Elephas maximus indicus: one gene and its partners. The protein of the gene in region 2 interacts with the protein of the main gene of each other region in a pairwise test. Links are inferred from orthologs where the notes say so. Each region holds a gene or a part of one and is shown on either strand. Other genes may lie near its edges. The genes, in order: RAB33A, RABAC1, PLEKHF2 and SNX10.

Region 1 (8,014 bases), on a different chromosome or scaffold from region 2:
AAGGCGGGGAACCTGGCTTCCCAGATCCGGAGTAGACTTCCATCTTTTGCAAATTGCTGCCACTTTCCGCATCCAACCCCTGTTTCCGGGACAAGTGGTCCCTCAGCGCTCTCCTTTTCCCGATATCCCATTTATATTGTGCAATTCTGTATCCTGGATGCTGTACCAGGTGCTGCGGTTCGTCTCCTGCTATTATGGCTTCCGTGTTTGAGAGCAGGATGCTGGCAAAACGAGTTCGTGCTTCACAGACTTTCTGTGAGAGAAATCCTAAGCAGAGCTTCACAATTTTGGGAGGAGTAGGGTGAGGCGCTGTTTTGAACATGTCACATGTAAGCTAAATTAGAAATAATTTTTTGCTGTATGCAGAACGTAAAACCAGTTGCTGTGGAGTCAGTTCCAACTCATGGCAACCTGAGTATGTCTACCAGAGTAGAATGTGCTCCTTACGGTTTTCAGTGGAAGTGGATTGCCAGGCCTTTCTTCCGAGACATCTCTGGGTGGACTCGAACAGCCAAACTTTCAGTTAGCAGATGAACGCATTAACCCTTTGCACCACCCAGGGGCTCCATGCAGAGCATAAAAAAAAATAGCATATGCTTTTTTCAAAGATTCGGGTGACATATTCATTCAGCACGTATTTACTGAGCACTTGCTACTTGGACTGTACTGTGAAAGGGGCTTTGGGAGATAGAAAAAGTATAGGAAGTGGTCACTGTCTTGTTGGGGAGATGACATATACTGCTTATTCAAATTATAAATTGTATCTGGTGGTGTAGTGGTTAAGTGCTATGGCTGCTAACCAAAGGGTCGGCGGTTGGAATCCACCAAGTGCTCCTTGGAAACTCTGTGGGGCAGTTCTACTCTGTCTTACAGGGTCACTATGTGTCGGAATTGACTCCACGAAAACTTTTTTTTTTTTTTTTTGGTGTAGTGCCAGAGCAAGAGAAGAGTATGGGCTGGAATGACTAAGGAAGGACTTCATGCAAGAAGTGTTACATGAGCTGTGCCTTCAAGGATGAGTAGTAAAATTCAAATAGACAGTGGAGCAAGAGGAATGATATTTCAAGTGGTGAATCTATTGTGACCAAAGGTAACCTTTTTAGTGGCTAAGCACGTCGACTTTGGATCCAGACCACCTTAAGCTGAATCCTGGCTCTGCCACTTCCTAAGCTATGTGACCTTGGGCAAGTCATTTAATTGTGTCTACCAATCTCATAGGGTTGTTATGAAGATTAAATGGGTTAATGTTTGTGAAGCGTTTTATAGGAAGCACCACCGTGTGTTAAATTAAAAGGCTTAGAGGTATACAAACAAAACTCAGCACATTTCCAGGGGACAAAGAGAAACCAATATGTCTGGGGCAGAGAATTCAGACTAGGAAGAAGCGGTGAGGACTGGTAAGTATGATGGGGCCAGATTTGAACTGTCAAAAAGAGTTTGGCCATAATCTTGTGAGTGATGAAGTAGCTTAATCTTGTGTGTGTGTGTGCATGGAATGTGGATAGGGAATGAAATTATGGAGGCATTGTTTAGGCAGCTTAACCCAGGAAGCAGTCTTTATTTATTTTTCTGGAGCTGGCACTTAATTTCCTTTTATTAAAATTTCCACAAGCCCACGCAGAGAAGCCCCTGGGTAATAAAATAACATCTGTGGAGCCCAGGATGGCGCCACACCCCAGCGTCCTCACAAGGCTCACATCTGGCCAGATCAGCAGTGTATGCAGGGCCTTCACTGCCAGCTGCCGCCCCTGCGTGTCCCCTACTAGGCCATGCCTCTGTCGTTGGGTTTAGGGTGGGAAGGAGTCATTTACTGGGCATCTACTGAATGCTGGGCCCTGGGCCAGGTGCTTTACAGACATCATTGCTTTTCATTCTCACGTCCCCTTTCAGACTTGTTGAAGAGGCTGAATAGTTGGCCCAAGCTACCCCTGGCTGCCTGGCTTTAAAGTCCCTCCTTTTCCTGTCTCCATAGTGCAAAGCAGCCTTGAGTGGAAATTATCTAAGGTTCCCTTAACTATTAAGCAGAATAGATTAATGTTCAGAAATGAGTTATATTTTACCTACTGCTGCTTTGGAGGGAGGTGGTAATATTGAAAATATCAATTCCACAATGAGGTAAAAATTACTCATATTAATTTAATATTTTAAAGACCTTACAGACATTGATGATTATTGATGTTTCTAAAAACTAGTAATAAACATGGTTTGATTAAATACAAAGTTAAACATATCTGTTGGTGAAAGAGGCTTTGGAAAACACTATGATAATCAAGTACCTATGAAAACAACTGTGTGTATTCAAAAGACAATCATTTAACGATGCATAATCAAAACAGAAAAGGCACAGTATAGCACATTTCATTTTTTTTTTTGCCATGGTGCGATGAGGTAGTTTTCTTATCCTTTTAATTAAAAATTGTGTGTGTTTTTTTGCAAAATATACACACATTGAACTAATTTCAAAAAATATAAGTGAAAGCCACCTAAAAATCTCACCCCACAGAGGTAAAATACACTTTTTAATATGGCAAGGTGCCCATCTTGAAACACTGCATTTCCAGGAATCAAAGTTTCTACCCAAATACAGTGTGAATCCTCAGACTCAGTGACAAGTTTTTGCCAGATAAATAATCTTATTATGTAGGTGTAAATTCTTTTTATATATCTCTCAGGAAGTTAGCATTAATTCTGGCTATGAGCTGGCAAAGCCTCTTTCCACTCTACCTACCAAAGAAACAAATCCAAACCCATTGCCGTCCGACTCTTGGCGACCCCATGTGTTACAGAGCAGAACTGCCCATAGGGTTTTCTAGGCTCCAATCTTAACAAGCAGGTCACCAGGCCTTTCTTCTGCTGTGCTGCTGGGTGGGTTTGAACTGCCAACCTTCACGTAAGCACCTTTATAGGTTAGCACCTTTAAGTTAGCAGTTGAGCACAAACTATTTGTACCACCCAGTGACCTCCCTCTACCTACAGGATATGCCTAATAATTACCCCCTCCCACTTTTCATACAGCTGTTCTTGGGTAGATAATGAGTATTTCCTTCAAATACAGTGGTGAATGATCCGGCAAACTATTATCTAGACATCAGACAATCAAAAAACCAAAATGTTGTGTAAAGTTGATGGCTATTCACACTGTACAATGGCAGTTGGTATCCATATGATGACCTTGGATTAGCCAATTATGATTAAATCCTCCCCTGATGCTTGAATAGTATAATCTAGGGTTTCAGACATGGGTGACACATTTATGTGATAAGGGGGTTAGCTATAAATAACGCTTGCTAACTTAGCTATATAGACCCTGTTTTCCCAACCATTTTGAGTAGTGAACTCGGTTGAGTATTCAGTATTCCAGTCCATTTACAGATCTGCCACTGATGCACTGAATTGGTTTTCTCTCGTTGGGAATGGACTAGTCACACGTTTGTCTCTTCCTGAATCTCAGCCTCACACACAAATAAGATGGCAGCTTGCAGTGCTCCTTGAATCCACGACTTTGGTGGTATTAGCAGTAACTCCTGTGTCGGAGCTATTGGCATATGTTGATATTGCCTTAGCCTATGAAATGGGTGGGGAGGCGGAAGGTCTTAAAAACAAACATAAAATAGGTGCACTTTATTGAATTTCAATTGTAACTCAGTAAGGTTGATTTCAGACAAACTCTGAACCTGCAAATCACTTTCGGGAGAGGGAGCATTGACCTTGACCAAGATGTGTGATTATTAGTAAGCTTTGGGAAGCTGCCCCCAGTACCGTAATAAAGTTGTGTTCATTTATTACCTTCCAAGCATAATCTAGGCTTCTGGCAAATTAGAACCAACCATTTTGTTTTACATTCAGTCGCAGGGGGGTGAACCCACCTAGGGGTTTCCAACTCACTTTGAACGTTCACCGTTCTGGAAGGAATTATGGTTATATGGAGGACCCGGCAATGCAAGGCACTGTGGGGCTTATGCCATGTCCCAAGATCCCTCCACCTGGGCCCGTAATGGTTAGCCCCAGAAACAAAGTCCCCTTTTGCTGGAGCTGCCACCACTCGCTTCCCCCCTTCTCCTACCCGCTCATGGCCCTCTCCCGCGGCAAGCCTTCCCCATTGGCCAGCTAAACACAACCGACTGCTGCAGCCAATGGGAGCCGCTCTCCTGAACATTCAGAGGATGGGTGCTCGTGGTGTGATGAGGGGAGGTTGGCGCCTGGCACGCGCCCCCCTACATCTGGCCCTAGACACACACGCGTACCCACCCGCGCCCCCGCTCCCTCCTCTCAGCTGCACGGACTCCCCACACCCTTCTGCGTATCTTGGCAGAGCCCTCTCCCGCTCCTTGAGGCCCGCGGGTGCACCTGCTCACTCAATAAGACAGAGCATCCCGTTTAGCTCAAGGCTTGGGAGGGGGTCCGTGGAGGCGCGGCTCAGCTGCCCGCCGCCGCGAGGTGAAAGAGGTATACCCCCCACACCGCACACCCCCCACCACGAGCTGCGTTGCTCCGATGCCGAAGAGCCCCGGAGATGCCTTAGGCACAGCGCTTTTTGTCCTCCCCAGCTCTGCCACCTGCCCGCTGACCCCTGGCACTCGGAGAAAGTGGGGGTGGGGGCCCGGGACAGAAGACATTAGTCGGGGCGCGCAGAAAGGAAGGCCGCCCCGGGGTGGTGTGTGCAGCGTTCCCCACCCCCTTCTTTTCCTCCTCCAGCTTCTTCCCTCCGGGGTGTCCCAGGGGTCCAGGCAGGGGGAGGGTCTAGGCCTAGGCGCGGCGGCGGCTGCGGCTCTGGGAGCGCCATCGGGTAGCACGCCCTGGTGTCCCGTCCGAGGGCACAGGTGGCAGGAGGAGGCTCACGGCTTGCCCACTCTCCTCCATCCATCGCTCCTCCTCTCCTGGTTTTTGTGTTGGGGCCTTAGAGCTCTCAGGAGGGTGCGCTGGAGGAGGGGGGCCGGGGCGAGAGCACCCCCTTCCCGCGCGCGCGCACACGCTCCCGGCGCACGCACACACAGGCGGACACACACACGCACACAGCTCGCTCGCCTCGAGCGCACGAACGTGGCCGTTGTCTTTGTGTGGAGCCCTCGAGGGGGGTCGGGCTCCGGGCCGGTCCGGGGGAGATGGCGCAGCCCATCCTGGGCCACGGGAGCCTGCGACCCGCCTCGGCCGCTGGCCTGGCCGCCCTGGAGCTCGACTCGTCGCTGGACCAGTACGTGCAGATTCGCATCTTCAAAATCATCGTGATTGGGGACTCCAACGTGGGCAAGACCTGCCTGACCTTCCGCTTCTGCGGGGGCACCTTCCCGGACAAGACTGAAGCCACAATCGGCGTGGACTTCAGGGAGAAGACAGTGGAAATAGAGGGCGAGAAGATCAAGGTGATCCAGACGGTCAGGTCCGGGAAGGGAGGGAGCTGGGAGGGGACCTCGCCTGAGGCATCGCTCTAGTGGCTGGAGACGTCCAGCTCTTGGTTGTGTCGCCGCCCGCTGAGCCCAAGACCCTGGGCACCTCCTCATCCTCTTTTGCCTCTCTCAGTGACCCCGTTCTTACCTCACCCCTGTTTTTAGGGCAGGAGGGAATGGTTTCCTTTTTCAGCTCGTTGCCCCTGGCCGACAGTTCTTGTCTGGAATAGCAAGGTTGATCCCATCCTTGACCCTGCGCCAAGAGCAGCAGCACTTGTGGGCAGAGGGAGGCATGAGGCAGCTTTTGGTCCAGGTCTGTGGGATCGATCCCAAAGCACTTTACGCATCTTGAGGTCTAGTCTACCTCTTGGGTGCCAATAGGCTGCAAAAACCACTTGAGCTAAGCCTCAAGAATGAGAACTGCTTTGTTTTAAATTACAGTTTATAGTTGAGATTAGGGCTGAGTTGAGAGCGGGGGTGGTTCTGGCCCACAGCCATGAGTCCTTTGAAAGAAATTCAGACAGGGTCCCCCGCCAGCCCTTCATAATAGACAAAACTTGTTCTTTTGGAACCATCCTTCCCAAATGATAACTCTTTTACTTGTCTGGGGTATCTTGCTCTGTCAGGTCAGGGTATTATCTTCAGAAGGCCTTTGTAAAAATACAGAGCAAGTTACCTGAGGGCCAAGGGAAGTGCCTTGGTCTCCCCCTTCCCCATGAGTTTATTACATACGCCAAGTACGAATATTCTTGTCTATTTGTTCTCATCTTTAAGTCTACAGGACAGAACATTTCAGTGTGCAGGGTGTGATGGGAGGGAGGACGTGGCAAGGGCAACTTCAGGTGTGTGGGGGGAGGGAGCAGAGGAGGAAGGGGGAGGGAGGCACCTCAAAAGGCACTGGGGACACTGAAGACCAATTTCGCTAGAGTCACAGCTGGCCTTTTCTAGAGCCTCTGGTTGGACCCTCCACGGAGTCAGGGTGAAGGTAAACCTCCCTCTTGCCAGTCCAACAGCCAGAGTGTCTCTGAGGCTGGTCATCTGAGAGATGTGCAGAGAAGGGCTGAGGAACTGGGGAGAATGATGAAACACTCTAAACTGAGCAAGACTCCTGACTCCTTGACTTAAGATGAATGTTTTTTAAATGGCTTCAGAAACCAGGCCAAGGTAGGTGCCAGGAAGATGGGCTGCTCGGTTCTGTTTGTTAACAGAGAGCTCTCCAAAACAATTGAGCCCCAGGGTCAGGAAGCTAGGGCATTGTTCTCAAATTGTGATCTTTTTGACCCTGGCCTTTTGGGAATTGGAGCATTTCCCTTTAAAGTCATTGTAGGTATCTGTCTTGGTCTTTTCCTAGGGCTCGTACACTGACGTTTCCTTGGTTAGGGCTTTCTCTAGTGTGTCTAGTTTCTTTAATGTAAGGCTGCAAGATTCTGGAATTTCTAAAGCATGCCTTTTTTATCCAAGTAGAAATATATCTGTGCATGGGATCTAAAATCCTTAAAATGTAATACTATCACTTGTTGAAAATCAAGTGTCACATTGAGCCAAAGTGTTCCCTGAATTTAAAACGGGGAAATGAGAATAAGGCCGCCTGAAATTTAGGTGGAGGAGAAAGGAAGTGTTTGAGAGTCTGAGGGAGGACGGAGAAGAGAAGGAAGCTAGGAAGTGGGGAATGGGGAGGTGAAAATCAAGTGCAAGAGGGTCATTATCCAATGGCCTTGGGGACATTTTTAAACCATTCCTTCCCTTCTAACACCCCAGTACTTAGCTAAACTGGATTTTACAGTCTCTGCCAAACATTCTGGATCTTCTCCCAGAGGGCAAAGCCTATGACAGTGTGACTCACTGGAAGCAGCTCAGCACACTAGCACGTGCAGATAAGTGCTTAATACAGGCTTTTTGGGGGAAGGTGATATCTTTTAAGAGGGCAAAGTCTTGTGACCATGCCTGTGGAGGAGTCCTCCGACCACAGATTCTGAAGCACTTAAGGTGGGGTATGGGAGCAGGGAGATGGTGTCCCTGCCTCTTGTAAAGCTGCTCCAATCTCACAGCCAACGCTGGCAGGCGAGAGGCCAGCATGTCCGTGGGAAGATGGCAGAGCATGGCAGCTGGACAGCTAGCATGTGATCTAGATAGGAGAAGATTTTGCCCCACACTTCTGCCGGTCTGGAGTTCCTTAAGGAACAAGGGCCAAAACCACTCTAGGAGGTGACTGCCAAGGGCTTTCCCCTTTGGGGGAGAGAGAGAAAAATCCAGTGTGACAGGCCCAGGTAGCCCTAGACCACAGTTAGCAATAGAAGGCTCTAAGCTCTAAAATACCAGCCCTCACAGGAGAGTGGTAAAGAGGTCTCAGCAAGCTCTTTGCTACAGTCCAAGACTAGGGTGGGGCCTCTTTTGGGCTGACTCCTTGTGTCCTGGGGTAGCACACGGGGCAACTCCTGCTGGGGCATGACTGAGTTAGTATATTTGGGGCTACTCCTAATTACCAGAGCCATCCCTAGGAGGTTGAAGCCCATTTGGTGTCTCCAGTCCATGCGCCCCCCCACCCCATCACAGCATTTATGATCCATGTTTTCTGGTTAACATGAATATTGAGAAAAGCCTCCAACAAACAGGCAATAGTAATAATAATA
Region 2 (7,976 bases):
AACAAGGCTGGCATTAATCCAAAAAACACAAAATAATAAATGTTGGAGAGGCTGCGGAGAGATGGGAACTCTTATACACTGCTGGTGAGAATGTAAAATGGTACAACCACTTTGGAAATCTATCTGGCGTTTTCTTAAAAAGTTAGAAATAGAACTATCATACAACCCAGAAATCCCACTCCTCGGAATATACCCTAGAGAAATAAGAGCCTTCACACAAACAGATATATGCACACCCATGTTTATTGCAGCTCTGTTTACAACAGCAAAAAGCTGGAAGCAACCAAGGTGTCCATCAATGGATGAATGTTTAAATAAATTGTGGTATATTCACACAATGGAATACTATGCATCGATAAAGAACAGTGATGAATCTGTGAAACATTTCATAACATGGAGGAACCTGGAAGGCATTATGCTGAGCGAAATTAGTCAGAGGCAAAAGGACAAATATTGTATAAGACCACTATTCTAAGATCTTGAGAAATAGTATAAACTGAGAAGAACACATACTTTTGTGGTTATGAGGCGGGGAGGGAGGGAGGGAGGGTGGGAGAGGGTTTTTTACTGATTAATTAGTAGATAAGAACTGCTTCAGGTGAAGGGAAGGACAATACTCAATACAGGGAAGGTCAGCTCAACTGGACTGGACCCAAAGCAAAGAAGTTTCCGGGATAAACTGAATGCTTTGAAGGTCAGTGGAGCAAGGGCAGGGGTTTGGGGACCATGGTTTGAGGGGACTTCTAAGTCAATTGGCAAAATAATTCTATTATGAAAACATTCTGCATCCCACTTTGAAATGTGGTGTCTGGGGTCTTAAATGCTAACAAGCGGCCATCTAAGATGCATCAATTGGTCTCAACCCACCTAGATCAAAGGAGAGTGAAGAACACCAAGGTCACATGATAACTAAGAGCCCAAGAGACAGAAAGGGCCACATGAACCAGAGACCTACATCATCCTGAGACCAGAAGAACTAGTTGGTGCCCGGCCACAATCGATGACTGCCCTGACAGGGAGCACAACAGAGAACCCCTGAGGGAGCAGGAGATCAGTGGGATGCAGACCCCAAATTCTTACAAAAAGACCATACTTAATGGTCTGACTGAGACTAGAGGAATCCTGGCAGTCATGGTCCCCAAACCTTCTGTTGGCCCAGGACAGTAACCATTCCCAAACACAACTCATCAGGCATGAAAGGGACTGGACAGTGGGTAGGAGAGAGATGCTGATGAAGAGTGAGCTAATTATATCAGGTGGACACTTGAGACTCTGTTGGCATCTCCTGTCTGCAGCGGGGAGGGGAGGATAGAGAGAGTTGGAAGCTGGCAAAATTGTCACGAAAGGAGAGACTGGAGGGGCTGACTCATTGGGGGAGAGCAAGTGGGAGTACGGAGTAAGATGTATATAAACTTATATGTGACAGTCTGACTTGATTTGTAAATGTTCACTTGAAGCTCAATAAAAGTTAATAAAAAAAAAAAAAAAAGACAAACAACCCAATCAAAAAGTGGGCAAAGGATATGAACACGCACTTCACTAAAGAAGATATTCAGGCAGCTAACAGATACATGAGAAAATGCTCTCGATCATTAGCCATTAGAGAAATGCAAATTAAAACTATGATGAGATTCCATCTCACTCCAATAAGGCTGGCATTAATCCAAAAAACACAAAATAATAAATGTTGGAGAGGCTGCGGAGAGATGGGAACTCTTATACACTGCTGGTGGGAATGTAAAATGGTACAACCACTTTGGAAATCTATCTGGCGTTTTCTTAAAAAGTTAGAAATAGAACTACCACACAACCCAGAAATCCCACTCCTCGGAATATACCCTAGAGAAATAAGAGCCTTTACACGAACAGATATATGCACACCCATGTTTACTGCAGCACTGTTTACAATAGCAAAAAGCTGGAAGCAACCAAGGTGTCCATCAACGGATGAATGGATAAATAAATTATGGTATATTCACACAATGGAATACTAGCCAAACCCACTGCCATCGAGTCGATTCTGACTCAATGAAATACTACGCATCGATAAAGAACAGTGATGAATCTGCGAAACATTTCATAACATGGAGGAACCTGGAAGGCATTATGCTGAGTGAAATTAGTCAGATGCAAAAGGACAAATATTGTATAAGATCTTGAGAAATAGTTTAAACTGAGAAGAACACATTCTTTTGTGGTTAGGAGATGGGGGAGGGAGGGAGGGTGGGAGAGGGTTATTTACTGATTAGATAGTAGATAAGAACTACTTTAGGTAAAGGGAAGGACAACACTCAATACAGGGAAGGTCAGCTCAACTGGACTGGACCAAAAGCAAAGAAGTTTCCGGGATAAACTGAATGCTTTGAAGGTCAGCAGAGCAAGGGTGGGGGTTTGGGGACTATGGCTTCAGGAGACATGTAAGTCAATTGGCAAAATAAATTCTATTAAGAAAACATTCTGCATCCCACTTTGAACTGTGGTGTCTGGGGTCTTAAATACTAACAAGCGGCCATCTAAGATGCATCAATTGGTCTCAACCCACCTGGATCAAAGGAGAATGAAGAACACCAAGGTCACAAGATCATTACGACCCCAAGAGACAGAAAGGGCCACATGAACTAGAGACTTACATCATCCTGAGACCAGAAGAACTAGATGGTGCCCGGCCACAACCGATGACTGCCCTGACAGGGAGCACAACAGAGAACCCCTGAGAGAGCAGGAGGTCAGTGGGATGCAGACCCCAAATTCTCATAAAAAGACCAGACTTGATGGTCTGACTGAGACTAGAGGAATCCCGGCAGTCATGGTCCCCAAACCTTCTGTTGGCCCAGGACAGTAACCATTCCCAAAGACAGCTCATCAGACATGGAATGGTCTCGACAATGGGTTGGAGAGAGATGCTGATGAGGAGTGAGCTACTTGTATCAGGGGGACACTTGAGACTATGTTGGCATCTCCTGTCTGGAGGGGAGATAGGAGGGTAGAGGGGGTTAGAAACTGGCAAAACGGTCATGAAAGGAGAGACTGGAAGGAGGGAGTGGGCTGACTCAATGGGAGTATGTAGTACGGTGTATATAACTTTATCTGTGAGAGACTGACTTGATTTGTAAACTTTCACTTAAAGCACAATAAAAAATAAAAATAAAAAAAAAAGTGGCTGCCGCAGGATATGGACAAGAAAGCCAGAAATTCAAGTGGGATTCAGAAGAGGATGTAGAACAAGGGATTACTAATGTCAGACGGATCCTGGCTGAAGGCAGAGAATACCAGAAAGATGTTTACCTGTGTTTTATTGACTACGCAAAGGTATTCAACTCTGTGGACCATAACAAATTACGGATAACATTGAGAAGAATGGGAATTCCAGAACACTTAATTGTGCTCATGAGGAACCTGGACATAGATCAAGAGGCAGTTCAAACCAGAACAGGGGAATACTGCCTGGTTTAAGGTAAGGAAATGTGTGTGTCAGGGTTGTATCCTTTCACCATACTATTCAATCTGTATGCTGAGCAAATAATTCAAGAAGCTGGACTACAAGAAGAAGAAAGGGGCATCAATATTGGAGGAAGACTCATTAACAACCTGCACTAAGCAGACGACACAACCTTACTTGCTGAAAGTGAAGAGGACTTGAAGCACTTATTGATGAAGATCAAAGACCACAGCCTTCATTATGGATTACACTTTAACATAAAGGAAACAAAAATCCTCACTGTTGGACCAATAAGCAACATCATGATAAATGGAGAAAAGATTGAAGTTGTCAAGGATTTTATTTTATTTGGATCCACGATCAACACCCATAGAAGCAGCAGTTGTTGAACAATCAAAAAAAATGCATTGCATTGGGCAAATCTGCCCCAAAAGACCTCTTTAAAGTGTTGAAAAGCAGAGATGTCACCTTGAAGACTAAGGTGCGCCTGACCCAAGCCATGGTGTTTCAACTACCTTATATGCATTCAAAAGCTGGACAATGAATAAGGAAGACTGAAGAATTGACACCTTTGAATTGTGATGTTGGCGGAGAATACTGAGTATATAATGGACTGCTAAAAAAAAAAAAATCTGTCTTGGAAGAGGCACAACCAGAATGCTCCTTGGAAGCAAGGATGCCGAGACTGCGTCTCACATACTTTGGACATGTTATCAGGAGGGATCAGTTCCCGGAGAAGGACATCATGTTTGGGTAAGTACAGGGTCATCGAAAAAGAGGAGGACCCTCAATGAGATGGATTGACACAGTGGCTGCAAAAATGGGCTCAACCATAAGAAGGATTGTGAAAATGGCGCAGGACCAGGCAGTGTTCGGTTCTGTTGTACATAGGGGTCGCTATGAGTCGAAACGGACTGGACGGCACCTAACAACAACTTGGAGAAGTGGTTAAGAGGTTGGCTGCTAACCAAAAGATCAGCAGTTCGAATCCACCAGCCGCCCCTTGGAAACCCTAGGGGCAGTTATACTCTGCCGTAGAGGTTCGCTGTGAGTTGGAATCAACCCCGCCCTGGCGGCATAGTGTTTTAGAGCTCGGCTGCCAACCAAAAGGTGGGCAGTTCGACCAGTAGCTCCTTGGTAGCCTGATTGGGCAGTTCTACCCTGTCATATAGAGTCACTTTGAGTTGGAATCACTCGCAGCAACGGGTTTGATTTTGGGGGGGGGGGTGGGTTTAGAGTCTGAGAATGACCGCGTTATACAGTGTCATTGCACTGTCCGCGGGGGAGTACAGGACACCTGCTTCTACCATTAGAGCTCCTATAACGCCCACTTCCAGTAGCCTGTTTCCCGACCCTGACTCCCACACGCCTAGCTTCTGAACATAGAACTTCCGGAACGCTCGAAGGACACCCGCCGTCGCCGTATTTGGACTACATTTCCCAAGGTGCTTTGCGAGTGACCCTGCCATCATGGCGTCCATCGCACCAGACACGATCAGGACTACAACTCCCACGATGCTTAGCGACAGAACTCCTGCCCCCCGCGGCTCCGGAGCCTCGCCACGTCCGCTCCGCTGGGTGAGGCCGGGCTCGGGACGGGCGGACAGCGTCTACCGGGCCCGGAGCTCGTTACAGCGGTTCTACCCCTAACCGCGCAGACATGGCGGCGGAGAAGGACCAGCAGAAGGATGCTCAGGGAGAAGGGCTGAGCGCCACGTGAGCGATCCGGTTTAGCCCCCTAACCCAGGACTCAGGAGTGAGGGTCCCCAACTTCCCCCTCCCTCGGGTCCCAGGAGTCCAGGTCCCAGCCCTCCTTCTCTCAGACACGGGAGCCTAGACCCCGGGTCCCCTTCTTTTCTAGGACTCTGGAGTTTGGGCCTCCTTTGGGGTCCGGGATTTGGGCCCCCTCCCGAGCCCCCCCGCCCAGAACCCGGGAGTCCCGCCCTCTCAGCCTCCTCCTTCGGGGCTCCCGGCCATCCCCGTACACCGCTGACCCAGCCCTGCCCGCCAGGACCCTGCTGCCGAAGCTGATTCCATCCGGCGCGGGCCGTGAGTGGCTGGAGCGGCGCCGCGCGACCATCCGGCCCTGGGGCCCCTTCGTAGATCAGCGGCGCTTCTCGCGGCCCCGCAACCTGGGCGAGCTGTGCCAGCGCCTCGTTCGCAATGTGGAGCACTACCAGAGCAACTACGTGTTCGTGTTCCTGGGCCTCATCCTGTACTGCGTGTGAGTGCCTCCGGGGACGGGACGCCGCCCTTGCCTCGCGGGCCCGGCATCGCCCCTCCAGGTGGCCCTGCTTGGTCGATCCCGCTCTTCTCTGGCCGCCTCCCGCCCCCCACTGGCCACGCCCCACCTCTGTGGGGCAGCCCGGCCAGACCTTATTCCCAGAGGCCCAGACCCCTACTTCCTTATCGGCTTGGCCAGGACAGTGTGACCAGAGGTGACCCGTCTTTGCGTACCGTCAAGGAACCATTCTGCCATCTCCCAGTGTAGAAGGATCAGGGCCCCTGGCTGGACAAGCCCAGCTGCCTGACCCCTGTCTCCCCGCACTTCTCTCCAGGGTGACATCCCCCATGCTGTTGGTAGCTCTGGCCGTCTTCTTTGGTGCCTGTTACATCCTCTATCAGCGCACGTTGCAGTCCAAGCTCGTGCTCTTTGGTGAGAAGCCCCCTGCCTAGACGGAGCCCCGGCCCTCTAGTCCTGTCTCTTGGAACTTGAGCATCAGACCCCCAAATCCAAGCCTTTCTGAACCTAAGTCCGCCCGGGGCCTAGATCTATACTTAAAAAAAAAAAAAAAAAAACCTGTTCTGGTCTTTTCCAACTCAGAGCGACCCTACAGGACTGAGCAGAACCTCCCCATAGGGTTTCCAAGGAGGGCCTGGTGGATTCCGACTGCTGACATTTTGGTTAGCAGTGGAACTCTACGCCACCAGGGTTTCCACTATACTATGTCCCTCAAGCCTGATGGCTTAAGATCCCGGACATCCCAGATGCTCCCACCCATCTCAGCCCCCTAAACTGCAAAATGAGATACCCCAGAACTCATTCTCCACCTGGCTTCTCCTGTCCCTGAAATCTCCCCTCCCTACACCCTCCTCTAGCCTGTCTGCTGGAAAGCATCAACTGCAGGTACCCACATTGGCCACAAGGTGGCAGCCGTACATGGCCTAGATCTTGCGCCCTTCGCTTTCCTCCTTCCTGCGGTGGAAGCTGGAAGTTAGGATTTCTGAGAGAGGGAAACTGAGGCCTGTGGCTTTTGTAGAATACCTCGTGTGGTCCCAGCCTGGTACCATGCACCTTTGGGATGACAAGGGGGGCCTGGGTCCCCACCCAGGGGAAGCTCAAAGTTTGGAGTGGAGCCAGAGGGGAGTTGGGATCAGACAATCAGAAAGCTCTAAGACAAAGTTGTTCATGGGGCTCCAATTGAAATTCTTTCAGAAGCCTACAAGTCACATACCTGACAAAAGTGGACTGGGGGAGGGACATGCTGGGCAACCCAGGGTGCATCTAAGACAGAGCTACAACTTGGCTTCAGCTGACTGGTGTCACCAGAGAATGCAGGCCAGTGTGACCCAACCTTCCAGTCTTCCATGAGAAGCCAGAAGTCTGTTTTTCTGGGAAACCATTCAGTTCACTTGCCAGCCACAAATCAAATTCTTGTGAAACACTGTGCAAACTCAAAAAAAAAAACAACACACATCTGCTGGTCAGACTTGGTCTGTGGGCCACCACTTGGAGACCCCTGGTCTACATGAATGCAGGCTGGAGTAGCAGAGGCCTAGTCTGGAGCAGCAGAAGCGGGGTTGAAGGGCAGGGGCCTGAGGAGAGTGCTGTGTTCTGGAAGACAGTGGGGACCTGGGAGAAAGAAGTTGGGGCCAGGGCTCAGAGGGGCTTGGTTTGAGTTTAGATTTGATCTTGAGGGTCGTGGAGCTTGTGATACCAGTTGCGTGGTGGGGGGGGTACTCTGAGAGAGGGCATGGAGTGTTGGAAAAGCTGCCCAATGCGTCTGTCCCCCAGGCCGAGAGGTGAGCCCAGCCCATCAGTACGCTCTGGCTGGAGGCGTCTCCTTCCCTTTCTTCTGGCTGGCTGGTGCAGGCTCGGCTGTCTTCTGGGTTCTGGGTGAGTACAGGGTCTGGGTGGCGGGTGGGCAGTGCAGGCCAGGTGAGGAAGCGTGGCCCTGAGCTGCCCGTTTCCTGCAGGAGCCACCCTCGTGGTCATCGGCTCCCATGCCGCCTTCCACCAGATCGAGGCAGTGGATGGGGAAGAGCTGCAGATGGAGCCTGTGTGAAGTGGCCTCAAGAACCTGCGGGCCTCCCAGGCCTGCCGCTCTGCCCCGGTTCACCCCCATCCTGCAAGGCTCTCCTGCTGGGGACAAAGCTCCCTCCCACATCACAAGCCCAGGGAGGCCTCCCAGCTTTGGAAATAAAGCTGTTACAGTTGTTGTCCTGCAGACATTGTCCCAGTGTCTTCTGTGGGTCTGTACAGAGTAACGCTGGGCATACTGAGGATCCAAGACAGACAGGGCTCAGGGTGTGGGGG
Region 3 (7,600 bases), on a different chromosome or scaffold from region 2:
GTGCCCACCAAAATTCTGGTGCCCATGATGAGCAGGCCACAGGCGCAGTGTGCCTGGTGCTGGTGCACGTTTCCACGACACTTTACTAAAACATTACTCAGAAGAAAAGATCCTGGAACCAATTCAAGAATAAGTAAATGACTCAACGGCAACAGGAAGAAATGTCATAAAAATATTTTCAAAATCCAAGAACGTGGACTATGTTGGTTCCTGGGAGTGTTTTATTAATGTTAATTGAAGAGAGTGCATGGAATAGTTCATAATAATTACCCACATATTTAAAGGATGTGTAAATCAGTGAAGACGTGAATAGAGTTTCAAGTTCTCTCTGAAGTTTGGAAAGCTTTTTAAACATGTCTGTGCTTCTGGCAAGACCTTCCTGTCTCTCATCTTGCTCAGAGTTGCTCAGAATTGCCTGGAACGCCCTCTGATACCTCTTTGTGGCTCGCCTGTTCTTGCTCTTGTCTCCCCTTGTTCTCTGATTCCCCCCCCCCCCCCCCACACTTCATCTCTCTCTTCCTACCTCCAAAACCAAAACCAAAACCAAACCGGTTGCCGTCTGGTCAATTCCAGCTCACAGCTACCCAGCGTGTGTCAGAGTAGAGGTGCATTCCATAGTGTTTTGAAGGCTGTGACCTTTGGAAGCAGGTTGCCAGGACTTTCTTCTGAGTGGGTTCAAACTGCCAACCTTTATGGCTAGTAGTCAAGCACTTAACCATTTGTGCCACCTGGGGACTCGCTACCTACTTCATTGTTGCTGTGTGCCCTGGAGTTGATTCCAATCCATTGCGATCCTAGAGGACAGAGTCGAACTGCCCTTAGGATTTCCAAGGAGCATCTGATGAATTTGAACTGCCAACCATTTGTTCAGTTGTATCACTTAACCACTGTGCCACCAAAATGGATTGAATAGTGGCTCCCAAAAAGACATGTCCAAGTCTTAACCTTTGGTACCTGTGAATGTCACCTTATTTGGAAAAGGGTCTTTGCAGATGTAGTTAAGGATCTCAATATGAGATTATCCTAGATTTAGGGTGGGCCCTAATCCAATGGCAGGTGTCCATATAAGAAAACAGCAGAGGGAGATTTGAGACCCAGAGAGCCACAGAGGGCAGAAGGCCACGTGAAGCCTGAGGCGCAGCCTGAAGTTATTCTGTCACAGGCCAAGGAATGCCAGGAGCCACCAGAAGCTGGAAGGGGCAAGGAAAATTTCTCCCCTAGGGCCTTCAGAGGGAGTGGAGCCCTGCTGACATCTTGATTTCTAACTTCTGGCCTCCAACACAAATTTCTGTTGTTTTTAAGCCATCTGCTTTGTGATATTTGGTTATGGTGGCCACAGGAAACTACTGCAGTAATTTTCCCTACCTTTCTCAGGTGCCATACACCAGTAAGATCCTGTTTGCCCCACCAGGTTGCAGACAAAAGACACCCTTCCATCCTGCTCCCTCCCACCCCTCCTTGCTTCTACTCCTGATTCCCATCTCACCCTCCCTTGTTTGATGGCCCATTAGTACACATCTCTCTGTGTGATTTTGCATCTAGCACACTGTATAACCAGCTGCAGTGAGGGAGCAAAGTCCAGGAGGCCCCCTGCTGTGCCCAGCATTAACTCATTAGGTCCTGGATTGTCACAACCCAACATTGACAAGATTCTTGGCGTTAATTCTAGTTGTGTACCAGGAATTGTGCTAAGTGGACTATCTCTTCGAAACCTCTCCACAACCGTATGGGTGATGAAAATGAAGCCTAAGCAGGTTCAGAGATGTGCGGCCAGGTCACCCAGGTAGCAAGCAAGTGGCTGAGTAAGGACTGGAAACTGGGCATGTTGTAGGGTGAAAACATCACAAAGTTTAGTAAAGCAAAACGAAAGCTTTATTCGGCGTTTGTTCAAATAGGCAAAAGTTGAAATGGACAAGCATGCTTCCAGAGCTAATGTCTGCCCAAATCCAAAGAATATTACAGAATAGGCAAGAATGGGAAAACGGACAAGCATGCTGCCACAGATATATCTGTCTGAGTCCAAGGAATATTACGGAATAGACAAAAGTGGGAAAATGGCTAAGTATGCTGCCAGAGCCGTGTCTGCCCAAGTCCAAGGGTTACAGAATGGCAAGAATGGGAAAATGGACAAGCATGCTAATGGGCAAAACCATTGAAAGCTTCACCTTTTCACAGATTGGCTAGAAACTGCTAAATCTCTGATTCTACATTTTGAATTGTCATTCTTAACAATCATTGGTACAGGTTCAGTAAAGACAGTCAGGAGGGTCTTCACTGGTCCAACAAATCTTACTATTCATTAAAGGCTAGTAAAAAACGATAAAAGTTGGAAGCATGAGGGTCACTAGTGCTGTGTTTTATGATTTGTTTATGTGAAAGATTCCCTAAAAGATGTTTTCCAAAATTGTCCTAGCTATTGTCTTTATACCTCAGAGCCCAGTTGATGTGTCCTTGTGAATCCAGCTCCAGGTGGGTCACATTCCAAGACAGAGAATAATGGTTCCAATATTATCTCCTAAATCAGGTGGCCTGACTCTTTGCTCTGTGTGCGGTGTGTGAGGAAAAGCCTGGAGAGAATCATCTCTCTGTGGAGTAGGGAACACTTAGCAAGAAGGGTCCTCCAGTCTAAGGGCCCTCAGAAAGGTACATTTTTTTATTTCAGAACAATGGCACCAGAGGGATACTAGCTGACCCCATCCTTCAGCCCTGATTGGAAGCGCAGGCCTAAGGGCTAAGAGGGAGGCCCTCATCTAGGAATTCATCCACTCTGAGGGAGAGCGGGAGGGAAGGGTGAGTTCCATGCTCAGAAATACAAGTTAAGCACAGAGCTTACAGAGCATGCAGAGTCCCAGAGACTTCTGGGGAATCACAGATTATAGGCCAGGACATAGAAGGTGAGAACTTAGCAAATAAGACTTATTGAGTCCAGAGGGTTTCCCTGCCTGTTTCCTTGAGGTGATACGCAGTGAGACTTAGCTTGGAAAGGTTATAATGTATTTGTGTTTAGAGAGGCGTTGTGAATGGGTGGAGTCCCTGGATGGCACAAAAGGTTAAGCCTTAAGGTTAGTGGTTCAAACCCACCCAGAGGTGCCCTGGAAGACAGGCCTGGCAAGATGCTTTCGAGAGGTCACAGCCTTGAAAACCCTATGAAGCAGTTCTGCTGTGCACACGTGGAGTCACCATGAGACTCAAAAGCAACAACAATAGTGAATGAGTAAAACAAGCAAACCTGCATCTCCAGCCTTGGAGGAGAGAAGTGAATGGGGGTATTGGCTTTAAACTGAGAAGGCTGGAAGCAGCCTGAGGTGTGCAGAAGAGAAGAAAGGGAAATAAGGGAAGCTTGCCTCAGCCTTGGCCAGAGGTGTGGCCCCTGCAGCTTAACTGGTGAACACCCCAGTGACTCCTTGAGCACGTAGGCAGAACGTGAGGGGGCCACATTAAAGCTAGAGCAGTTGTTGCTGTGGAATTTGCCAGTGGGTGACTTTCTTACCTTTCTCCCCATGGGCTGATAGCCATGTTTGCTGAAAGTCAGTGGCATTTTCTGGCGCTATATACGTTTTTATATATATATACGTAGGCGTGCTTGATAGGACCTTTTAAATAAACCTAGTCCCAAGTTATCATTATGCTATTACATTTGTTAGTTGTTGGCAGATCTGTCCCACCATATACAAAAGCTGAGCTATTTCAGTTACTGTACTTATGAGTCATCTTGCCGATTTTGTATATATTTTCTACCACTGTTCTATAATCTCATCCTTTCGCTCAGTGTGTGCAGGTGATAATTATGTTCTTTCCCTTTCTTACATTTTACTTCTATGAGATCAAAATAGCAAAAAGGACAGTTACAGTTTTCTCTTAAAAGTTTGTGGAGACTTACAAAGCTGACCTTGACACTAGCGCTTTGACTTAGATCAGTGATTACAAATAACGTAAGTGCTCTTCCGAGCTTTGCAATAAGCAGAAATGCACATCAAGATAGCCTTGCATTTTAAGGGCAGATTGAACTGGGTGCCCATCTTGTCAAATTGTGAAGTCTTCAAAAATTCTTTTTGTGTTGAGTGGATTTGCTACATCCGTCATTGCTACTGAGGTCTAAAAAGATCGTCTGGAACGCATCAGTATTTGTCAGCACTCAGAGAGCTGAAGGGTCTCCTTAGGGAAAGGGCAAGGGAGGTAGAACAAACTGTAGTAACCCAAGAAAAGATGGATTTGTATGACTGAGAAGACTAAAGTCACGTGTTTTCATTCACCACACTATTTCTGGAAGGTCTTGGCAATTTTTAAAAGTTGTTATATCATTGTTTTCTTGATGGCTTCTCTAGCTGTTCAAACGTGGTAAGAAGATGACAGTGTTATCACACAAAAGGGAAGGAAGAGCCGTGTTCCTCTGACTGAAAAATGTTTCCTCAGTTCCTGTCTGTCCATTACCTTGAAACTCTCTCCAGTTTTCTCAGACAACACTGGTTGGAGCTGACACACTCAGAGGAACACACACTTCCCCATTCAGATGACCACATCAGGAAGTAGAAGCATAGCTTTGACTCAATAGGGGCTTCTCTGCCCACATGCTTCACATACGTGAACTGTCAGGCCTCATCTGAGGGACTTACAGTGGGTCAAGATCTCTTCTCAGCTGAGCCCAACCTGATTGCTCAGCAAATAGTTTTGAGAGAAGCTTAGACCTCAAGTGTGAGAGCCGCGCACAGTTATTTTTCCCGAAGATGTGCTGAAATCACAGATGTCTACAAGTCAACGCTTAAGGAATGGCACTCCTAAACAGCAGGAAATTTGGTATGTTCTCAGTTGCAAAAATGTGTCCTAGATGCTGCAGATGGTGATTTTATTCTTCAGCCACGACAATAGCCCTAGTTGGGGCCCTGATCATGCATTTTCTGGTGACAATGCTCAATGTATTCTGAGCTTATTTTAACCATATTTTGAAGTGAAAGTACATGTATTTTAGAGAACTGAAAGTGACTCTATGTGATTAAATCGTAGTGTCAGTATTTTTAATTAGCAGTCTTTTGGTTGAAATCAACAGAACCCAACTAGCTTAAAAAAAAAAAAAAAGCTTAAATAATAAAGAGAATTTATCATCTCACTTACTTAAAAAGTCCAGAGGTAGTTCAGGCTCTAGATAAGATTTGATGATGTCAAGGGTCTCATTTCATTCTGTCTTTCTGTTCTGGCTTCCCCTGTGTGAGCGGGCATCTTAGGGCAGACTTCCTTATGGTCCCAAAATGGATGCCAACAGGTCCTGGGGTTACATGATTTTTTGTTTATATCAGTAGGAAAGAGACCATCTCTTCCCTGAATTGCCAAATAAAATTCCTGGGCTTCATTCTGACGGAACCAATGACTGTATTTGGGACTATGGGATGCCCTGATGCCATAATTCCGCTCATCCTTGGAACTGAGGGTGGATCAATCCCCTGTGATGGTTAAGGTTATGTCAACTTGGCTAGCCACAATTCTCAGTGGTTTGGCAGTTATGTAATGATATAGTTATCCTTCATTTTGCGATTTAATGTAATCACTTCTGTGATATGATCTGATGTGATCAGCCAATCAGTTGTAAGGGGAGTTTGCTTGGGTGTGTGACCTGCATCCAACACTAGCTAGCTTTTCCTCACTCCAGATCCTGCATCTGGCTCATCATCATCTGACCTCTGGCTCTTGGGACTTGAGCCAATGGCCTGCCATATTGCCTGCCGATCTTGGGTTTGTCAGCCCCGGCAGCTACGTGAGTCAGGAGAAGCCTCCAGACTGACACCTGACCCACAGTCTTGGAACTTCGCAACCTCTATAACCAAGTGAGCCATTTCCTTGAGATAAATCTCTCTCTCTCTCACCATATATATGTGCATATATATTTATCTACACACTTCACTGGTTTTGCTTCTATAGAGAACCCAGCCTAAGATACTCCCCAAATGCTTTGTTGAGAGTGAGGTAAAAATGATTGCAAGGGAAATTCGGGATACTCTTACCAAAAGAAGTATAAGTAGATGAAAGGACGCAAAAATAACCAACATTCTCTCATGAGTGTTTTGGGAGGAAAAGCTATAAGCTATCCAGAAAGGCGAGTTGAGGAGTGACTGGGAAGGGCTCTGTTAAGAAGTCTGAACCTGACGTCTTTTGAAAGGTGATTTTAATCAGCAAATATCACCTAATATCCACAGAAAACTCCTTAGGGTCATTAAATACCCAACAATCTTTTTATGAAGTCCTTGGGTGATGCAAACAGTTAAGCACTTGGCTGCTAACAGAGAGGTTGGTGATTAGGAATATACCCAGAGATGCCTCGGAGGAAAGACCTGATGATCAGCTTCCAAAAGATCAGTCATTGAAAACCCTATGGAGTGCACTTCTACTCTGCATACGTGGGGTTGCCATGAGTCGGAATCAACTGGTTTGGTTTTGGTTTTTTAGTCTTTTTTACAAATGAAGCTTTTTTTTTTATGTGTGGTTAGAATAGCTAGACGTCTGGATACTGAGTAGATCCAAAAAAAAAACCAAACCCAGTGCTGTCAAGTCAATTCCGACTCATAGCGACCCTACAGGACAGAGTAGAACTGCTCCATAGAGTTTCCGAGGAGCACCTGGCGGATTTGAACTGCTGTCCTTTTGGTTAGCAGCCGTAGCACTTAACCACTGCGCTACCGGGGTGCCCACTGATAGGAACCTATTATTTGATCATTGTACTTTTCGTTGTGTTTGAAATATTTTATAATTAAAAACTGAAAGTGACACACGGATATGGTAGACATTATCAATATTTTATATTTTTCTCCTTCCTGTGTGCTCAGGAGACTACGCTTTCTAGCTCATCTTGCAATTAGGCAGTTCGTGTGATTAGTGCTGACCAATAGGCTGTGAGCAAAAACGACACTGGTTTGGTCTGGCCTGAGAGTATAAAGCTCTGGGTGAACTTTTGGCTTTCCCTTCTTCTTCAACATGATAGTGGATGCCAAATATTGAGATGGTGGAGCTGCAAAGTAGTTGGGACCACCGAATCACTGCACAATGTCCACTGCCTTGGAGAGTCATCAGATGTTCTGGTTATCAACTTCTGTGTGTCATACCACCCCAAAACTTATTAAAGTAACAATTTTCTGTTATCTCTTATGGGTCTGTGGATTGACTGGGCTCAACTGGGCAGCTCTTGCTGAGGGGCCTTTCAGACGGTTCCAGTCAGTTGCAACTGGAGCTGCAATCACCTAAAGACTCATATGAACTGGATGTCTAAAATGGCTCACTCGTATGTCTGGAATTGGTGCTGGGTGTTGACTGGGTAGGGGGCAGTTGTGATTCAGTGGTAGATTTCTCACCTTCCATGCGGGAGGCCTAGGTTCAATTCCTGACCAGTGCACCTCAGGAGCATCCACCACTTGTCTGTCAGTGGAGGCTTGAGTGTTGCTATGATGCTGAACAGGTTATAGCAGAGCTTCCAGGTGAAAACAGACTAGGAAGAAAGGACTGGTTATCTACTTCTGAAAATCAGCCAATGAAACCCCAAGGATTGCAATGGGCTGATCCCATTGTACATGGGGGCTGACTAGATAGGAGCTAACAACAAGTCTTCTTATTCAAAGTA
Region 4 (7,930 bases), on a different chromosome or scaffold from region 2:
TGTGTGTCAACTTGACTGGACCATGATTCTCAGTGGTTTGGCAGTTATATAATGATGTAGTTTGGCAGTTACACAATGATGTAATTTGGCGGTTATGTAATGAGGTAGTCATCTTGCACGGTGTGATTTGATGTGATCAGCCAATCAGTTGTAAGGGAAGTCTCCTCGGGGGTGTGTCCTGCGTCCAATATATATATGGACGTTCTGGCAAAGCTTGCTTGCTTACTCTGGATCCTGCATCTGGCTCACCATTATCTGACCTCCGGTTCTTGGGACTTGAGTCAGTGGCCTGCCGTATTGATTACAGATCTTGGGATTCATCATCCTCCGCAGGCTGTGAGCTAGTAAACTTCTGTCTTACCAGCTGCTCTTGGGTTCATCAGCCTCTGCAGTTACATGTGTCAGAAGCTTCCAGCCTTACTCCTGACCTATGGACTTGGGACTTGCCAGTGTCTACAACTTCGTGAGTTATTTCCTCTAGATAAATGTCTGTCTCTCTCTGTATATACGCTTCACTGGTTTTGCTTCTCTAAATAACCCAGCCTAAGACAGAGTGTGTCTGTGGTGGCATACTGGTTAAGTGCTACAGCTGCCAACCAAAGGGTCGGCAATTTGAATCCTCCAGGCCCTCCTTGGAAACTTTATGGGGCAGTTCTACTCTGTCCTGTAGGGTTGCTATGAGTCGGAATTGACTCGACGGCACTGGGTTTAAGACAGCGTGATATTAATGATATTGTTCAATAATTTCTGCATCCTGTTGGATCACCTTTCTTTGGAATGGGCACAAACATGGATCTCTTCCAGTAGGTTGGCCAGGTACCTGTCTTCCAAATTTCTTGGCATGGACGAGTGATAGCTTCCAGTGTTGCATCTATTTATTGAAACATCTCAATTGGTATTCTGTCAATTCCTGGAGCCTTTTTTTTTTTTTTTTCCGCCAATACCTTCAGTGCAGCTTGGATTTCTTCCTTCAGTATCATTAGCTCTTGATCATATTTTACCTCCTGAAACAGTTGAACATTGACCAATTCTTTTTTGTGCAGTGACTCTGTGTTTTCCTTCCATCTTTTAATGCTTCCTGCATCGTTCAATATTTTGTCCATAGAATCCTTCAATATTGTAACTCAAGGCTTGAATTTTTTCTTCAGTTCTTTCAGCTTGGGAAATGATGAGCATATTCTCCCTTTTTGGTTTTCTAACTCCAGGTCTTTGCACATTTCATTCTAATACTTTGTCTTCTTGAGCTACCTTTGAAATCTTCTGTTCAGCTCTTTTACTTCATTACCACTTCCATTCACTTTAGCTCCTTTTCTCTCATGGATTGAATTGTGTCCCTAAAAAATATGTGTCAACTTGGTTAGGCCATGATTACTAGTAATGTGTGGTTGTCCTCCATTTTGTGATTGTAATTTTATGTTGAGAGGATTAGGTGGGATTGTAACACCACCCTTACTCAGGTCACCTCCCTGATCCAAGGTAAAGGGAGTTTCCCTGGGATGTGGCCTGCACCACCTTTTATCTCTCAAGAGATAAAAGGAAAGGGAAGCAAGCAGAGAGTAGGGGACCTCATACCACCAAGAAAGCAGTACCAGGAGCAGAGCATGTCCTTTGGACACTGTGTCTTTGTGCCTGAGAAGCTCCTTGACCATGGGAAGATTGAGGACAAGGACCTTCTTCTGCAGCTGGCACAGACAGAAAGCCTTCCCCTGAAGCCAATGCCCTGGATTTGGACTTGTAACCTACTAGACTGTGAGAAAATAAATTTCTCTTTGTTAAAGCCATCCACTCGTGGTATTTCTATTATGGCAGCACTAGATGACTAAGACAGCATTTGGTACTGAAAGAGTGGGGTGCTGCTCTAACAGATACCTAAAATGTGGAAGCAGTTTTGCAACTGTGAATGGATAGAGTTGCGACAGTGGCAGAGGACTAGTTCAGCAGAGAACCTGCAGTGGCAGAGAATCAGCAGCAGCAGAACCAGGAGACCAGCATGAGATGGCACTGGGGCAGACCCAAGGAACGAGAGAGCTGAGTGCCTGTGTGCAGGAGGCTTCTTGGAGGAGTAGGGATGCCTCCAGGCACTTATCAGTGAAGCTAGGCTTGCCGACCCATGGAGCCAGAGAGCTAAGTGCCTGTGTGCAAGAGGCCTTCTGGTGGAATGGAATGCCTCCAGGCATTTATCGGTAGAGCTACAGAGCTTTGGAACATTTGCCCCAGCAGAGCAGATGCGGGCATGAGGCCCGAGGAGCCAAGAGGCCAAGAAACCAGGAAGCAGAAGCTGAAGAGACAACACAAGAAGCCGAGCTGCCTCAGTCTCGAAAGGTAGGGCCATGACCTCAGGGGTTTCAGAGGGTGTAGCCGTGGCCTCTGGTGTTTCTAAGGGTGGACTTGCCACTCAGAGGGACTAGGAGAATGGTGTGTCTAAAGCCAAGGGAGCAGAGTTGCTGTCCCAGGGCCAAGGGTTCTCCACTCAGAATCTGGAGAATGTGGCCAATACCTAGAGTCTGGAGGGCAGGGTCATTGCATAAATTGTCTCGGAGAACAGAGGATTATTTTCAAAGCTTTGCGGGCTAATGTATTGTGGTCTGCTGACTTGCTTGGTGCCTATTATGCCTTCTTTCCCTTCAGTTTCTCCCATTTGTCATGGAAATGTCTAGCTTGTGCCTATTCTGCCATTGTACCATTGGAAGCAGATAACTTGCATTCTAGATTTCACGGTTGAGGAATTTTTGGATTTTGGACTTGGAGTTAAGACTTTTGCTATGATATGATGGGGTGAATGTGTTTTGCATATTACAAGGATGTGATTTTTTGGGGGCCAGAGGGTGGAATGTCATGGATTGAATTGTGTCCCCTAAGAAATGTGTCAGCTTGGTTAGGCCATGATTGCCAGTAATGTGTGGCTGTCCTCCATTTTGTGATTGTAATTTTATGTTGAGAGGATTAGGTGGGATTGTAACACCACTCTTACTCAGGTCACCTCCCTAATCCAAGGTAAAGGGGGTTTCCCTGGGGTGTGGCCTGCACCACCTTTTATCCCTCAAGAGATAAAAGGAAAGGGAAGCAAGCAGAGAGTGGGGGACCTCATACCACCAAGAAAGCAGCACCAGGAGAAGAGTGCGTCCTTTGGACGCTGTGTCTTTGTGCCTGAGAAGCTCCTTGACCATGGGAAGATTGAGGACAAGGACCTTCCTCCAGAGCCCACAGAGAGAGAAAGCCTTCCCCTGGAGCTGACGTCCTGAATTTGGACTTGTAACCTACTAGACTGTGAGAAAACGAATTTCTCTTTGTTAAAGCCATCCACTCGTGGTATTTCTGTTATGGCAGCACTAGATGACTAAGACATTTACATTCAAGAGCAACTTTCAGAGTCTCTCCTGACATCCATTTTGGTGTTTTTGTTCTTTTTAATTACCTTTTGGTTTTTTCACGTGTGATGTCCTTAATGTCATTCCACAACTCGTCTGGTCTTCGGTCATTAGTGTTCAATATGTAAAGAATAGTGTTGAAATATATTCTTGAGATGATCTCTAAATTCAGGTGGGATATACTCAAGGTCATATTTTGGCTTTCTGTTAGGGTCATAATTTTAACAGATATTTAAATGACTTTCCATAGAATCTCCAAGGCTTTATCTGCTGCTCTGTCTACAGTTGTAAGGTCCTGCTCTTGGCAAGTTCAGAAAGATTTTAATTTTGCAGACTCTCTTAGTGTCTTAGGGGGCAGTGGTGGTTCAGTGGTAGAATTCTCACCTTCCCTGTGGGAGACCCTGTTCAATTCTTTGCCAATGCACCTCATGCATAACCGTCGCCTGTCTGTAAGTGGTGGCTTTTGCGTTGCTATGATGCTGAACAGGTTTCAGTGGCACTTCCAGACTAAAATATACTAGGAAAAAAGACCTGGGAATCTACTTCTGAAAATCAGTCAGTGAAAACCCTATGGATCACAGCAGTCCAATCTCCAACTGACCATGGGGTAACACAGGACCAGGTAGCATTTGGTTCCCTTGTGCACCGACTCCCCATGATTTGGGTCGGGACTCCATGGCAGCTATCAACAACTCAGTATCTTAGGCTCGTGCAGCATTTCGTTTTCCAGCCAATGCTTTTCCTTGTGGAGCATAGGGGCGAGAATTTGAAAAATATACTTAAATTTTATTTTCAGAAGTGATCATGTTTGCATCTACTTGTGTGTTATGACTTGGCTGCAGTCATAGGAAATTCAACGTCAGTGATTCATGATCCAGTGGTGCAAATCCAGGAACCAGATATTAAGATACGACATTGTAGATTTAGAAGTTTTGCTATGCAAAATCAACTTCGGTGTGGAGCGTATCCGTCATGTTATATTTCCAGGTGGGCCTGCCGTGGCCCCCAACAATCGTCTGGAGCAGGCTGTGTCTAATGGGATAACTGGTGCTTCAGAAATGAAGTGTTAGGTAGTCACCCATCAGAAGCTTAAATGACCTCATAATGCGTTTTTTTTTTTTTTTTTTAATGCGTTGAGGTTTTCCAGCAAAGGGGTGTGTCAGACCTAGCCTAAAGTTCTATTCGGGAATTGGCTTACTGATTCAGTCCTCTTGGCGGATCTCATTTATTTCCCCCTCCCAAACGTTTTATTATGCAGAAATTTCAAAATTCAGAAAAATTGAAAGAATTGTACAGGAAACACCCATATGCCCACGACCTAGATTTTTATTAACATTTTATTATATTTGCTTGTCACAGATCTGTCCATCTCTATCTCTTTCTCCACCCATCATTAAGGTCCCTCCACTCATCATTAAGAATTCCAGGGGATGCTGGTTGCACACCTCAGCTTCAGCGTCCGGGCAAGTGGGGGTATTTCCTCCCTAACCCGATTTCCGGGTCGAAGGAGGCATAGTCGCGGCACCAGAGCGCGGCGGGCCCGCCGGCAGTTCCGCCCATAGCCCCAGCCGCGCCTGCTGGGGGTCCGCTTCGTCTCCTGCGCGGCAGGAGGGCGGGGCGCAGCGGGCGTCCCGAGGCCACAGCTGGGCTGGAGGGTGTGGTCCCGGCCGGCGGTGGAAGCGGGAGCCCTGGCGGCCAGACGCGGCAGTCACACGCGGGAGGCGGACGCTGAGCGCGGGCACGGGCGCGGACAGCTACGTGCGCGGGGAGCACGGCGCTGCGCTCGTGTGCGCTCCTGTGAGCTCGTCGCCGCAGCCGCCGCGCCTTTGAGTCAGCAAACTCCGCCGCCGGTTCGCCAGGCCGCCTGCCCGCCGGCGCTGCCCTGCCCGGCCCTGCCCCGCACTGAGAAGCGGCCGGTAAGTGAGAGGAGACCTGTCGGGGAGGACTCTTTTGCACTGCCTGGGCTTGGGACCGCGGCCGGAGCGAGCCGGTCGCTTTTTCCATTTCAGAGGCGCGGGGCCCTTCTACCCGCATCTAGGTGCCGGTTCCCTGCGGGCCCCGGAGAGGTTTGGGTCCCTTGGGATTGGATCCAAGAAGGTGATTCCTTTCCAGCTGAGGTGTGCAGGGGAGAAAGAAGTGGGTTTGTCGGACCAAGGGAGGGCGATGCAAAGTATTGGTCCAGGGGTTCATTTGCTAAAAAGACACCCCAGGGAGAGGGGGTGGGGTAGAGGTGGAACCCTGAATTCTAGAAAAAGTGCTGTGGCATCTTACACCAGATTGGGTTTGGGTAGGTGTTTTTTTTTTTTTTTTTTTAATTCATGAAACGGTAATTTTGAGTTTAGAAATTAGGAGGAGGTGGGCAGGGTTTTGTGTGTGTGTGTGTGTGTGGGATTGAGGGAAAAGGCCCGAGAGAAAATCCACGTTGACTACCATGCCAGGGTAGGTGACACGGGAAATCAACGGCCTTGCTCTTCAGTTCTGGATGAATCATGCTACTCTAAAATGACACGGAGTATTGACGGGAATGGTCTCTGGAAACGTAGAGCAACATGTCCTGCTTTAAAGGAAGGGCTTCTATCCCTGCAAGACACGTTTACCTGTAAGAATAATGGAATTAGACATTTAGAGCAGGAAAGAGGCCTTCACGGGATATCGTTCTAATCTTTCATTTTACAGACAGGGAAACCGAGGCAGGGGGAGGGGCGTGTCTTGACTAGGGTCTTTCAGCCAGATGGGAGGAGAAACAGGCCTCCAACCTGGTGGTCTTCTGATGCCTACCCCGGAATTCTCTGTACCCTTGGTGGGTGGAGAGAGGGGAGGGTTTTGGAATGCATACACTCCCTCCACTCTAGGAGTTGGCTGGTCCCTGAGAGGGTGAGGTGGAGGACAGTGTGGACAGGGGACTCTCATCCAGTGGCCAAGCTGGGACAGCGTCCTCAATAGGACAATTGGGGTGAGGCGAGGGGCCCCTGAGGTGTTCCTGCCTTGCGTACAGTGATCAAGGGAGGCAGACTCATTCTAAGGCCTATATACACTTGGCCTTTTTTTTTTTCTTAAAAGGATGTGCCTACTTTTAGGTTGACTAGCAGCACTGTCCTAAATATACAAAAATAAAATGCATGAAGTAAATATATGAAGATGTGAAATAACGTGATTAGCGTTGACTTGTATTCCCTGATTGTCCTGTTTCCTCTGTCAGTCCTTTCATCTCACTTTGGGGTTACCATCTCAGTGGTGAGGAAATTGGTGTTGAAAGAAGGATGTGCTCAGGCTGACACATTTCCTCCTGGCAACCCCTTGAGTGCTATTCCCCCCCCACCACTCTGGGGTGTGGTAGGCACTTCCTCTTATTTAACCTCCAGCTCGGTTTCCTAAAAATAGAAATAAACACCTTTATTCTTTTTCAGATAAAAATGTATTAATTAAAGACAAACTTGTGTGTTCTACTACAGCTAGTCTGCATGACTTTGGAGCACTCTTGATATCTTTTTTCAGCCCGAGGGTCTCTTCTGCCGTTTTGAAGGGTTCACTTTGCTAGCCAAGCTTTTGTGGGAAATGGCTTCTTTTTCCTCTTCTGCTGTCAGGTCTGTGGTTTAACAACTACTTGTGAAGGGTAGAGAACTAGCTGGTTGAGACCATGGCCCAGGCAGGCTTTCATTTCCAGGAGTGGTAAAGAAGGGCTTTTGGCCGAGGTCCTGGTTCACAGCCATGGACAATCTTCTAAATTTTGGGTTGTTATCACCACCCATAGTCTTTCTCTTACTAATCTGGTGAGTATGAATTAGATTCGATTTTTCCTAAGCTTTGTTTAAATAAGAGATTGTATGAGGTAGTGGCTACAACTTCTTGTTTCAGACCTATCTAAGCCAAAATCTCCACACAGTCATTTGCTACCTGAAGTTCTGTAGCAAGGCACTTAACTTTAATAGATCTGAGTTATTCTTTCTTGAAAAATACAAAAAGGGTGATGATAATTCTCACCTCTCAGGATTTTTAATAATAATAGCTGAGATTTAGTGAGCTCCTACTATGTGTGAAGAATTGTGAGAAGAGTTTTTAATGTGGTAATCTCATTAATCTTCACAGCACATTTATGAAGCAGGTTCTGTTATTGTCCTCAGTTTACATCTGGGGAAGCTAAGCCCTGAGGATGTTTATGACGTCCCTAAACTCCTCAGCCTAGAGTTTTAACCACCTGGCAGATGTGTCCCAGATTTCTGTAAAAGCCGATAATTATTTAGGACTCTGTGTTCCAGGCCCTGTTTCAAGTGCCCGATGTATATTAACAACCCTTGAGATAGGTACTGTTGTACAATTTTTTCACAAATGAAGAAACTGAGGCATGGATAGCAAGGTCAGATAAATGGTGGGATGGAGATTTGAATAAGGCAAGCTGGGTCCAGAATCAGTATGCTAAGACCTCAATCAAGGACAGCTCTCATTGGTGCTTTCATTTATTTGTCCCTAAATAACCACACATCCCTGCCCCCACCAGTGTCTGCAAAGGATGTGCTTTCAGTTCTCTGAATGATTCAGCTTTGCCTGAGCTTTCATGATTCTCT

Evidence for each region.
Region 1: the proteins of RABAC1 (region 2) and RAB33A interact in binary tests that used the Homo sapiens proteins (3 or more experiments, as listed by UniProt). The two-hybrid records come from large-scale screens. The link is inferred for Elephas maximus indicus from reciprocal best matches to the Homo sapiens genes RABAC1 and RAB33A.
Region 3: the proteins of RABAC1 (region 2) and PLEKHF2 interact in binary tests that used the Homo sapiens proteins (3 or more experiments, as listed by UniProt). The two-hybrid records come from large-scale screens. The link is inferred for Elephas maximus indicus from reciprocal best matches to the Homo sapiens genes RABAC1 and PLEKHF2.
Region 4: the proteins of RABAC1 (region 2) and SNX10 interact in binary tests that used the Homo sapiens proteins (3 or more experiments, as listed by UniProt). The two-hybrid records come from large-scale screens. The link is inferred for Elephas maximus indicus from reciprocal best matches to the Homo sapiens genes RABAC1 and SNX10.

What each region holds. Positions count from the first base shown.
Region 1 is NC_064846.1:26,288,305-26,296,318, reverse strand, and holds the start of RAB33A (ras-related protein Rab-33A), read left to right. Parts: upstream 1-4,999; 5' UTR 5,000-5,102; coding exon 5,103-5,360; intron 5,361-8,014.
Region 2 is NC_064829.1:108,961,036-108,969,011, forward strand, and holds RABAC1 (prenylated Rab acceptor protein 1), read left to right. Parts: upstream 1-4,973; 5' UTR 4,974-5,099; coding exon 5,100-5,155; intron 5,156-5,450; coding exon 5,451-5,663; intron 5,664-5,997; coding exon 5,998-6,095; intron 6,096-7,454; coding exon 7,455-7,556; intron 7,557-7,636; coding exon 7,637-7,725; 3' UTR 7,726-7,887; downstream 7,888-7,976. UniProt on the Homo sapiens protein: General Rab protein regulator required for vesicle formation from the Golgi complex. May control vesicle docking and fusion by mediating the action of Rab GTPases to the SNARE complexes.
Region 3 is NC_064833.1:46,884,730-46,892,329, reverse strand, and holds the start of PLEKHF2 (pleckstrin homology domain-containing family F member 2), read left to right. Parts: upstream 1-4,592; 5' UTR 4,593-4,794; intron 4,795-7,600. UniProt on the Homo sapiens protein: May play a role in early endosome fusion upstream of RAB5, hence regulating receptor trafficking and fluid-phase transport. Enhances cellular sensitivity to TNF-induced apoptosis.
Region 4 is NC_064826.1:87,445,135-87,453,064, forward strand, and holds the start of SNX10 (sorting nexin-10), read left to right. Parts: upstream 1-4,915; 5' UTR 4,916-5,284; intron 5,285-7,930. UniProt on the Homo sapiens protein: Probable phosphoinositide-binding protein involved in protein sorting and membrane trafficking in endosomes. Plays a role in cilium biogenesis through regulation of the transport and the localization of proteins to the cilium.